Nothobranchius furzeri: one gene and its partners. The protein of the gene in region 1 purifies or fractionates together with the protein of each later gene. This does not show direct contact. Links are inferred from orthologs where the notes say so. Each region holds a gene or a part of one and is shown in the gene's direction. Other genes may lie near its edges.

What was found.
Region 2: the proteins of pfdn4 (region 1) and pfdn2 purify together in Homo sapiens (affinity purification with mass spectrometry; 6 studies listed by BioGRID and IntAct, counting the BioPlex papers as one, with this or other methods). This does not show direct contact. The link is inferred for Nothobranchius furzeri from reciprocal best matches to the Homo sapiens genes PFDN4 and PFDN2.
Region 3: the proteins of pfdn4 (region 1) and pdrg1 purify together in Homo sapiens (co-immunoprecipitation; 3 studies listed by BioGRID and IntAct, counting the BioPlex papers as one, with this or other methods). This does not show direct contact. The link is inferred for Nothobranchius furzeri from reciprocal best matches to the Homo sapiens genes PFDN4 and PDRG1.

The regions. Positions count from the first base shown.
Region 1 is NC_091755.1:40,025,324-40,029,075, reverse strand, and holds the start of pfdn4 (prefoldin subunit 4), read left to right. Parts: upstream 1-848; 5' UTR 849-863; coding exon 864-977; intron 978-1,315; coding exon 1,316-1,423; intron 1,424-1,899; coding exon 1,900-2,040; intron 2,041-3,752. UniProt on the Homo sapiens protein: Binds specifically to cytosolic chaperonin (c-CPN) and transfers target proteins to it. Binds to nascent polypeptide chain and promotes folding in an environment in which there are many competing pathways for nonnative proteins.
Region 2 is NC_091742.1:74,820,949-74,824,700, forward strand, and holds pfdn2 (prefoldin subunit 2), read left to right. Parts: upstream 1-1,255; 5' UTR 1,256-1,477; coding exon 1,478-1,558; intron 1,559-2,402; coding exon 2,403-2,491; intron 2,492-2,609; coding exon 2,610-2,733; intron 2,734-2,961; coding exon 2,962-3,153; 3' UTR 3,154-3,436; downstream 3,437-3,752. UniProt on the Homo sapiens protein: Binds specifically to cytosolic chaperonin (c-CPN) and transfers target proteins to it. Binds to nascent polypeptide chain and promotes folding in an environment in which there are many competing pathways for nonnative proteins.
Region 3 is NC_091743.1:5,381,370-5,385,121, forward strand, and holds the start of pdrg1 (p53 and DNA damage-regulated protein 1), read left to right. Parts: upstream 1-1,348; 5' UTR 1,349-1,419; coding exon 1,420-1,503; intron 1,504-1,642; exon of another isoform or gene 1,643-1,811; coding exon of another isoform or gene 1,812-1,841; intron 1,842-1,951; coding exon 1,952-2,027; intron 2,028-2,249; coding exon 2,250-2,324; intron 2,325-2,406; coding exon 2,407-2,487; intron 2,488-3,752. UniProt on the Homo sapiens protein: May play a role in chaperone-mediated protein folding.

The DNA.
Region 1 (3,752 bases):
AGCCAGGAAAAAAAACAAAACAAAAAAAAAACAGACACCGGCCCATAAAAGATGAAAGGGTCGGCCCAGCGGGCAGTTGCCCGCTATGCCCTATGGTCAGTCCAGCGCTGCCTGGGAGTCTGGGGACTGAATCCTGATTGGATCATTTTTTTATATCAGCCACAGATCTCTCTGAAGAACTCAGCATTGACGGCTTCAGCAACGCTGTGCCACTCCGTGGATTTTCTCTTATTTGTTTTGCAAAAGTACTTCCTTACATTTCTCCACCTCACCCACAGGTACCTCAACTTCTGCTTGTGTGTAATAGCGCTTTCTTGATCTGCCTTGATCTACGGTCGCCATGTCATTGGCGGAGCGCTGCAACAGCCGGCTTATGTATACGCATGGGATCCACAAGGCACTTTGCATTGACTATTTATGGCAGTAAGTGGGCGTGGTGAGGGCGGGATGTGACTAAAAAGCAGCTGAGAACCTATCTAGATAGTCTCTGATTTATGAAGTTGCAATTGCGTGCAGCTGTGTGTACTCCATGTTTGATAGATCACAAACCTACTTGGCATAAGTACTTTTTTTTTGCTGAGCTTAAGTACGGTTTTAGTAAGGATTCTACACAATGTTTGATAAATGAGACCCCTGGCAGCTTGAAGGTTCTTAGCTGGTCCTAGAACTGCACTCTTCCAGACTGAGTTGTCAGATGTTTGTCCAGGAATTTGTTGGAACCACTTCTCTAGTGTGGGGGTCTCTTCAGAGCACTGTATCATTGTATCATCATTGATCTGTGTCATTATTTGGTTAATAATACTTAAAAAAGACCACTCTGTAAGTATTTGTATTCAATCTTTGTCACATGCGCACAGCATGTAATGCTGAAGTGCTACCGCCAGGTGGTGGTGTCGCAGCGGCTCTCTATTGAGCGCTGCTTTCTGACAACAGCAGAAGAAGTCAAGATGGCAGCTACCGTCATGAAGAGTCCTGTTGTAAGTTCGTTTTTAAAGGAATTTTACGTTTTCCTGTAATTAAATTCATGCGCCGCTTTAGTCGCAGATATGAATGGAAACAGCAGAGGAGTATTTGATGTCAGAAGTCACAGTTTTTGGGGTTTATTTTAACCATTCTCACCACCCGTTCATGTGAGTGAGTGGAGCTAATGTAGCTAGCACAGAGGCTACAACCACCCTGCCGGGCAGCGGCTGAAGCTGACGACGGTTTATCGGTTTGTCACTAACCAGCTCTGTGGGAGTCGACCGGACCTCAGACCCGGTGCGCTTGTGAAATGTTTAGTTATTTACAATTAACGTCATCTTCCGGTTTGCAGGCTGTTGAAGACGTGGTTGTCACGTTCGAAGATCAGCAGAAAATCAACAAATTCGCCAGAAACACGAGTCGGATGACGGAGCTCAAAAATGAAATCGAATCAAAGAAGGTGAGTTTGGTGTTTTCTGCTGAAGCATCCTCGTTTCCTGTAACCTTAACCCGATGCTGGCTTATTTCAGGTTTTTATCCAGCCTGGGTAATGTTGAGTAGATTTCTTACATCTGTCAGGAACTGATCGCAGTGTTTGTTGTTTCTGGCTGGCTAAAGGAAGATCAACATGACTTTTTAAAGAGTAAACTCAGACCTCCATCAGATGGTGGCTTTGTGGCTCAGAGGCACACTGGTAGCTCTAACCTCCAGAACGTCAGTGCCTACATGGAACAGTTGCCACTTATGCAGATCAACACCGGTGGGGTTTGACTTCGGCAGTTTCCTCTAAAATGCCAAAGTCATACACGCAAGTTGATGTAGAACCCTGTTATTTAATGTGTAAGGAGTCTGATGTGTCCTGGAAGAGCTACTGGAGCAGTCAGTAATCTATGAACTGCCCTCACCGATTGCTTTGTGTGTGGTGTCCTCTTTCAGAGAACGCTGCAGAACCTTCAGGATGCCAGCGACGACCTGATGCTGTTAGACGACGACACTCTGTTGATCCCCTACCAGATAGGTGGTGTCTTCATCAGCCACTCCCAGGAAGAAACACAAGAGATGCTAGAAGCTGCTAAAGTGAGTGGATCCACGTAACTCAGTAACTCGTTTTGCTCTTCTCTTAAAACATCAGAGAGAAAACCGAATTCAAGTCGCTGTGCAGCTCGAAGGTGTCGAAACAAACCCGGAACTATCGAGGTTAGAGCTGAGGAAAATAATCGATGCATCGGGATGCGGACATAAACGATTCTGCATCGTAGAAGAGTACGCCATCATCGATTATAGTGGAATGTAGTTTTGTTTTTTTAACAGCGGCACCAGCGCAGCGTCCAAATCTGTCAGAGTGAGCGTCCTCCACATTTACCAAGTGGTTCCGCCTTAATGTGGTTCTGCAGGGCTGAGCGCTTGAGTTCTAACCTGAGACCGAACCGGAACCGAATCAGCCCGACTAGTTCTGTTGGATTTGGGCCCTGAATTACGTCAATTGAGTGGGTTGTCACACGGCGCGCTCCGCTCGCACAGCAACTGAGAGAGGGAGAGAGAGGATCGGAGGACGCTCCTCCAAACCGATGCTCCAAACACGCGTTATTATTTTCATAATTTAATTATTATTTCTCCTGGAAGCGCTCAGTCAGACCGAGTGTTGTGATGCTGGGAGATCCGGTCTTGGGGAGGGGGCGGGGTCAATGACGGTGGCTGCAGCGTGATCGTCTTTTATTTAGGGACACGGAGAAATTAAGAGGAGAGAGATAGAAGATAGAAGTTCTTGTTCCACTTTATTCTTTTGTGTCATGATGATAATTTGATGTTAAATTCAGCTTAAAGAGAAGCTGGGAGGAAGCTTTGGTTCATTTTAAGTTACAGGAGGTCTTGTCTCCCATCTGCTCCTCCAGAGACAGCATGGACATGAGGGTCACATGGTGAGGGTCCCACAGGACAGGTTAGTGGAAAGGTTAGTTAGCTGGTTAGTGAAGGAGCTCCATCAGCTGGGTAATTTAATCCTAATCCAGCCCACAGCCTTCTGCTGGTGTTATTATCAGAAAGAATAAAACACACATCTTAAATATTATTGGAAGTGTAGAATTTGTTTTATGTTTTATTATTTTCTGCATCAAACAGAACTTGATTCATTCTCCAACATTTCAGAAATGAACCACTGGGTTCAAATGAAATTAAGTCAAACATTTCATTTGGTGTTATTTCTGACACCCTTCAACTGTGGCATAAATATCGGACTCTAGAGCTGCTCAGAGACATTAAACACTCATATATGAACCCATTATGGATTTTATTATTACGTTATGTTTCCTGTAGGTTTTCAGTACTTTTTTAGATTTTGTGAGTTTTTGCAAAGCGTGTTCTTCTCAGCCTGAGGCGTGGTGTTGAACGAGGAAACAGATGTTTTACTTTGTTAAATCTTCTTAAATGTTTAAATGTTTTGTCCTAACCTGTTGTGAATGGAGAGATTTTGAGGGACAGCAGGTTGTGTCGATTACGCTTTTGATAAAAAAAACATAAAACTAAAAAGCAATTATCTGACATCTTCCATTTATCGATGAAAACAAACTAATATGAAATAATCGTGATGCGGGATGCAGCTATCGAATATTTTTGTAATCGAGTACTCTATCGAATCTTTTATCGATTAATCGAGTACTCTAATAAATTACTCTTTTGTGTTTTTAAACCATTATATCAAATAGCATGTTATAAAATATGAAAGACCTCTTGAAATGAGAAAGCAATTGCCAGTTATTCTTCAAGTTTTATTCAAAATTAGTTTTCAAAAC
Region 2 (3,752 bases), on another chromosome or scaffold:
ATATAGCACCCTACTGCCACCTACTGGAGACTTTTTATAACAATATGTGGTAATAACAAAAAAACAAAAATAAATAAATAAAATAAAATAAAACTTTAAATGTAATGAAAAGTCCATTGTTTTAGGATGTGGAATAGTTTTTGAGTTGGCAATGTTTTTATACTCCTAAAATTGTTTTTAAAGTATTATAAATGCATCATAATCATTCAAATATAACACAGGTTTATAAATAACTATCAAAAATACCCTTAAACCAGACTGAATAAATATATTATTTTGCAAAGCAAACGTTTGGTCTAGTTCACTAATAAGATATAAACAGCACGTATACGTCGCATTTCAGTCAACTTTGAAGACATATTGACAATAATATTGTGTGTTTCTCAATTACAACTCTTTTCGTAATCATTCTGATTATTATGGCAAAGTTTTACATTAATAAATTTAAGTTCAGGTGCACTAAACCATGCATTGTTGCTTTTGAAAACAAATTCAAACAACACATTTAATGTGTTCAATCTTCTGAAAACCCCAGAGCAAATAAAAATCTAGAGGTCTGTATGAGGTTAATCCGCTTTCAGCAGTCCTTTACAGCGTTTGAATTATAAAAATAAAAAAATGTCGATAAATGCATTTAAGTGTATTTTTGTATTAAAAATTTACATGTATTTCTTCATTTGTTTTTAATTATTGATTTTAATTTATGTACGGTGTGCTTCTGATTATTGTCTAACATGAAAACTTTTGTTATTTTTGTTCATTTTTGTTTTGCTTTTGATGTTACCTATAGGCTGCTGTAAAGCACATTAAGTTACCTTTGTATAGGAAATGTGCTATACAAATAAAGCTGTCTTGTCTTGTCTTGGCGGTGTGCAAATTAATTAATTTAATGATTAATATGTCCTTTGGCTGAAATAAAGAATATTTGAAAGAGAAAAAACACGTCTAAAACTCCACGATGCAGAAACTGCTTTAATAAATAAGCTAGATTCGGAAAATGGGCTGCATGGTGGCGCAGTTGTTAGCACTGTTGCCTCGCAGCACGAAGGTTGCAGGTTCGAAACTCGGCTGCGGCCTTTCTGCGTGTTGCGTGTTCTCCCCATTCATGCGTGGGTTTCCTCCGGGTACTCCTGTTTCCCCCACAGATCAAAACATGCCCCATACGTTATAAATTGCAAGTCACTTTGGATAAAAGCCTCTGCCAAATAAATAAACATAAACATAAAATAAAAAAGCGTATGCACGAAAAAACAAAAACAATACAAAGTTGATGGAAGTTAATAGAAATTATTCCTTCAAATGCCATTTTATTTTATGTTGAATTAAGTTGTATTTTGTTTGCGGTTCTGCTTCTGAGTTTTTACATGAAAAAGTAAAAGATGGTTGCAAAGTAATTTAGATGTTTTACAAGCCGCATTTGCACTCAGGCAATCTCATTAGATAGCTGCAGGGTCCTAATTGGCAACACCCTTCCAAGATGGCAGCGAACGGTAGCAGCACGGGTAGCAAGTCCAGCAGCAGCGCCGGCGGAAAACAGTCCGGACTTTCAGCTGAACAGGTACTCTCAATTATATAAAAAGGTTTCATTTGTCGTTACAATTATTTCTGTTGTTGTTTGGCTCAGTTTGGTAAAGCAGAACTAAAAGTATAGCCCCTAGCTAGTCTAAGCTAACATTAGCATTCCTGTCGCGATCATCTGGCTCAAAACCCAAATTTGGACATCGGGAACCGTTAGGAGTCTAATAAGGACATTATGAGAGTTTACATCAAACTCTTACTTCTAACAATTTTTACGTTAGTCTATGTATTTACGGTTTTGAAATAATGTGTTTGGTTTGGTGTGACTAAGCATAAAGCTATTTTTGTCCACCTAACCCTAATAAATTATTACTCAGACCATATTAAACAAATCACTGCTGTAATGTCTGTAATACAGTGCACTGTAGTCCGTAATATATCCTTTAACAACAATAATGGCAACATTAGAGTCGAGCAATACCTTCAAATATGTGTCAAAACCTTTATTGATCAGGTTTTACAAAAATAATAATAAAATGTAAATATTGCCATATTGTATCATAACCTTTTTGTTATTTTCTTACATATAAAGTCTATGACTCTGCGTAAATGGTGATTAAAACCATCAAATAAACAAAGTTTATGTCCACTACTTCTAAAAAGTTGTAGATTAAATCTGATAATAAAATTAAACCTTTACCATTAATGAGTTGCTGCATTATGTACATTTATTTAATAATCTTTTAAACAAAATTGTAATATGCTAATTACCAGTTATGACTTTAAGAGTTTGGTTTCAGTAGACAACTAAGGAGTAGCAGCATCTGTTTTTTATTTATTTATTATACTTAATAAAAAAATGATCAAATTCCATTTGTTTTCAGGTGGTAGCAACATTTCAGAGGATGCGTCAGGAGCAGCGTAGTATGGCTTCGAAAGCTGCTGAGCTGGAGATGGATGTCAACGAGCACAGGTTGGTGGAGCATCATCTACATTTATGTTCTAGACACAAATGTTTCACAAGATTTTGTAGGGGAAACAATCCAAAAGACAGACCGTTTAATACCTTTGCTATTTCTTTTCATATTTAGTTTAGTAATTGAGACCCTAAAGGAAGTGGATCCTTCCAGGAAATGCTTTCGTCTGGTTGGAGGAGTGTTGGTGGAAAGGACAGTAAAAGAAGTTCTACCAGCCTTAGAAAACAACAAAGAAAAGGTAATGTTATTTATTTCGGTCACAGGAATGATCAGGAGAATAAACTGAGACATTTTAAATCACTTATTTAACACCAAAATAACAATAAGTGTACATCGAGTTAATCTACATAATTTCACAAGAAAGAGTTTTGTTTATAGGTTTTGAAGTCAAAAATAAACGTTTAGGTGTCAACTGCAGGATGTTTCGTTTGTCTGATTTCTCATCCATCTTCCTCTGTTCTAATAGATTTCCAAAATAATCGAGACCATCAACACACAGATGCAGGCAAAAGGACAGGAGCTCACAGAGTACAGAGAACGTTACAATATCCGGCTGGTTGGAGAGGGTGAAGGAGAGGCGCAGGGCCAGTCGGCAGCAAACTCGCAAGACAATGAAGGAGGAGGATCCAAAAGTGGAGCAGGAGTTCTGGTCTCATAATGCTTTGAGGATGGACAGGGACAGCAGTGCCCTGTTATTTCTGCAGCACTGAAGAAGAAATGAAAACTAGCTCAAGTCAAGGAATTTAGGTGGAAAACTGAACTTTTCATAATGTTCCTTTTAGTTTTCTTGTTTAACTGTAATTTCCTGGAAGTTGTAATAATCATGGTCATCTGCTTCTCTGTTCAGTTGTTTATGTCCTCATTAAGGTCATTTGCCTTGCAGATGTTTTTTAAAATGCTGTCATACATTCAGCAAATAAATTAAAATGCCATAAAAAGGATTTTGAAGTTGCTGACATAAGTAAAAACATTTATCTTTCTCATCTAGCATATAAATCCTGTTGCACTGGGATGAAATTTTTAAAGACATTAAAAAAAAGTTAATGTCAGAATTAGATCCTTTTGCATTGTCATTAAGCATACACAATCGAAATTTATTGGTATGTCAGCTTTGAAAACGCACAAAGCTTTAAAAATGATGTACATTTTTGCGAAAAGGATGTAAAGGACTGAAAAACAACAAATAATTAAACGTGACTCATGAACAGGAGCCAGTACACAAAAGGAAAAATGGAGAAAAGGAAGAGGTTTCTCATG
Region 3 (3,752 bases), on another chromosome or scaffold:
CACTAAATCATTGGCCCAGTTTTAATATTTACATGAGTAGTCTTAAACTCAAACTTCAAACCATTAAAAGGTTCCCAAACCCTCAAGCATTTCATCTATAAGTGTTACTGTAGCCTAACCTGGTGAGCCAGGCCCATGGGGGACCAGCTGAGGCTCCTGTGGAGCGAGGCTATACCCACAAGCTGGGCTCAGTCTCCTCCACCGGATGTGTACCGGGAAAGTTTGGCTCCAAAAGAAAAGTTATCGCTTCCAAATCAGAACTTATGCTCTTTAAATCAAGAACATTTAAACTGTCACAAGTATAAAAAGTACTTATTTGAGTGTTGCTGCGTTTGAATGAGGAAAATGTGGAAAATTGAAAGTCTGAAAACTGTTTCTGGAATATTTGGGTCCATTTTCAAACCTGGTCAGTTCATTACACCCGTGACCACCGTGCGTGTAATGTTGCTTTTAAGTCCTGTCCATCATGAAACTTGGTTTAAAGGCGTTAATGCTGAGTCCACTCTTATTTTATGTGACAATAACAGATGTTTCTGGAAGGGATTCAGCTGAAGTTTCAGGAACGATGGACTTTTTTCTATTGGTCCAAGGAAAATGATTTGTAATTTGTTTGTTTTGCACAGTAACTTGTACATTTTGACTATAATACACAAAGGTGTGGACTCGAGTCACATGACTTGGACTCGAGTCAGACTTGAGTCATTATTTGAATGACTTCTGACTTGACTTGATAAAATCTATAAAGACTTATGACTTGACTGGACTTGAACACCAGTGACTTGTGACTTGAATCGGCTTGCATCTGTTGACTTGATGATGACTTGAGAATGTTTGATATTTTGTCACAGAAGTGGCACGACATGGACAAAAATCATAAATCATTCTTGGTTCTGGGTTTGATTTACTGCTGAATGCAGCAGCGCTTTGTTTATAACCAGTCTCAGTTTCTGCTTGTTTGAGCAAAAAAAAAGAAGCTTTAAGAAGGTTTTTTTCTGGAATTAATTTATTATCATCGTCATTAAATAGAAGTTGGACAGATGGCTTGATTATCACTTGAAAATTCAAAGTTAAGGACTTGACTTGGACTTGGTTGTCTTTGACTTGGATTTGACTTTAGACTTGAATGGAAAGACTTGTGACTTACTTATGACTTGCAAAGCAGTGACTTGGTCACACCTGCTATACATGAAGAATTTGAGCCCACTTGGACATGCTTTTGAAAATGTTTTTCCTATTTATTTAGTTTATGATGAGAATATTTACAAAAATACAGAAAAACATTTGTATGTGGAGTATGTACAGTCTATGGTCACACCTCTGAAAATACATTTGTGAAAAGCTTCGCGGCGGATGCGGAGGTGACCTCTCTCCAGCAGGGGGCGGTAGTCCACCGTTAGCCCAGAAGAAGAAGACTCAAAGATGGACGACGCTTCTCTGCGTGTTTTGGAGCGCTTGACTGAAGTGGAAGAGGCGGCTGAGGATGTTCTCACCGCCAAACAACAGGTAAACACATCCAGACCCACCGTGGCCAGGCTGGTTCTGTGAGACCCGTAGCGGGTTACAGCTGCTAGCTTCATGCTAACAAGTGTGAGTGGAAGTGACGTACGCGGTGAGACCCGTAGCGGGTTACAGCTGCTAGCTTCATGCTAACAAGTGTGAGTGGATGTGACGTACGCGGTTTTCAGACGCAGTTCTGTGCGTTAGCAGCTTTATGCATGAGGATTTTAGCGGTTGGAGCCAAGAGAGCTAAGTTCTGGTGTTGGTTCAACACTTCATTTACCCGTCACCACACCGATGTTGTCTAGAGTCAAATGTCCTTCTGTAGCTGGTCCAGTCAGGTGGTGCGTTCATGATATCTGAAGAAAACTGTTGTTCTAAAACCACACACACACGCACGGATATCCCAGTTAATAATGTCCTCCCTTAAAACAAACGTGTGTGTGTGTTTCAGATTGTTGACCTGGACATGAAGAGAAACTTCAACAGAGAGGCGCTGAACGCACTGAAACATGAGATGTCGGATAAAGGTTTGTGATCCATCAGCACTCAGGCCACCAGAACACCACAGAGGAACCCTTGTAGCTACAACAACCAAACGTTCCCATAAAGCTGGAACATCCGTCTGTTATTATTGCCTAAAGGAACACGTGTAATCTGTAAATAATCTCAGGCTAATTATGAAACTCGTGGTTGTTTATTGGTGACCCTGGTGATGAAGGAGTAATGGCCGCCTCTGCTGCCGTCCACAGAAAAAGTCAAGGTTTGCTTTGGAAACATGTTCATCAAGTTCTCCAAGTCTAAAACGACGCAGATGATCCGGAAAGGTGATCCTTTATCGTTTACAAGTTAGATCTTCCGTTTTTAACACGAGTCGAATTTAGTCTGAGCCGTTTCTCCAACCTGCAGACCAAGAGCAGCTGGACAAGGAAATAAACCACCTTCGCAAAGAGCTGAGAACTAAAGTCGGTCGTCTCAACGAGATCGAAGGTATGTGTGTTGTGACACATCAGCGGTTCCATCCACCACACTAATGATTCAAGCACCGGTACTACAGACCCTTGTTCACCTCATAGATCCTCACGAAACAGCAGTCTCCGGATCAGAATGGACCTGGAACCATTTCTTCATTTAACATTTATTTTATGGGCACTAAATGAAAGCTAAAGCTTTTTAAAGAGTTTATTATTCTGGTTATTATAATAATAATGATAATAAATGTGACCATTAATTTGGTTGCAGTCTCTCGGACACTTCCTAAACGTTTAGTGTGCTCATTTAGAAAATATTTATCGTTTGTTAGAAAAGCAACACTGGAAACTAATCCTCCAGCTTCATATTGTTTTAATGAGAGGTCCATTTTCATAGCAGGACATTGTTGTTCGTGAACTGCATCCTAGTGAGCACACTTCTCTTCATTATGAGGCACAAACAGTAAGAAACTCTGACTGCAAAGAAAATAATCAGGAACTCGATGAAAAAGCACCGACACTGGGATCCTGGTGTTGGAGGTCTAGACTCGTCAGACCAGGCAACGTTTTCCGGTCCCTTCTGGTGATGCTGTGGGGATTTGAGGCCCAGGTTCCTGTTGTTGGCTGACAGCTGGTGTGGTCTTCTGCTGCTGGAGTCCATCTGGTGCTGGGTTAGGGTTGAGTGTCTGTTTCAGAACTAAAGGTTCTAGTTCAGTGAGCTGTCGGCCCAAAGCACCAGCTGTCTCCCAACAGGTGTTGTGAATCCTTCCGTGTGATAAGTTGTTGGATCTGAGTGGAGAAAGAGTTAGTAGTGATGACCCGTTTTATCACAAAACGCCGCTCTGACACATTTTTCACGCGTTCTTTGGCTTACCGTAACAGTTTTTGTCTTCTGAAACATTCAGGCGGCTTCTGAAAGAGAAGCGTCACAATAATAAATTATTTTCAGTTCCTGCAAGAAGTGGACGGCTCAGCCTCTCCGTCTCACACTCAGACAACGACAGACGACCACAGCTGTAAATAGAAATGACCGTGGTCGGGCCACGAAAAGGACAAAACCCTGGAAAAACGACCAAGTTCCCCGTGTGGTCAGCTCAGTCACTGGGCTCCTGCAGCCCACACACCCAACCCCCCAACTGGGCTCGCCCCGGACCTGTACAATAGTAGACACAACAGATCCCGGGTCAGTCAGGAACGCTGGAAAGGAGATCAGATTTGAGGATCACATGATCACGGTTTTATTTATTTCAGACTTTCACTCCACAGGGGCGTGTGCTGAGCCCC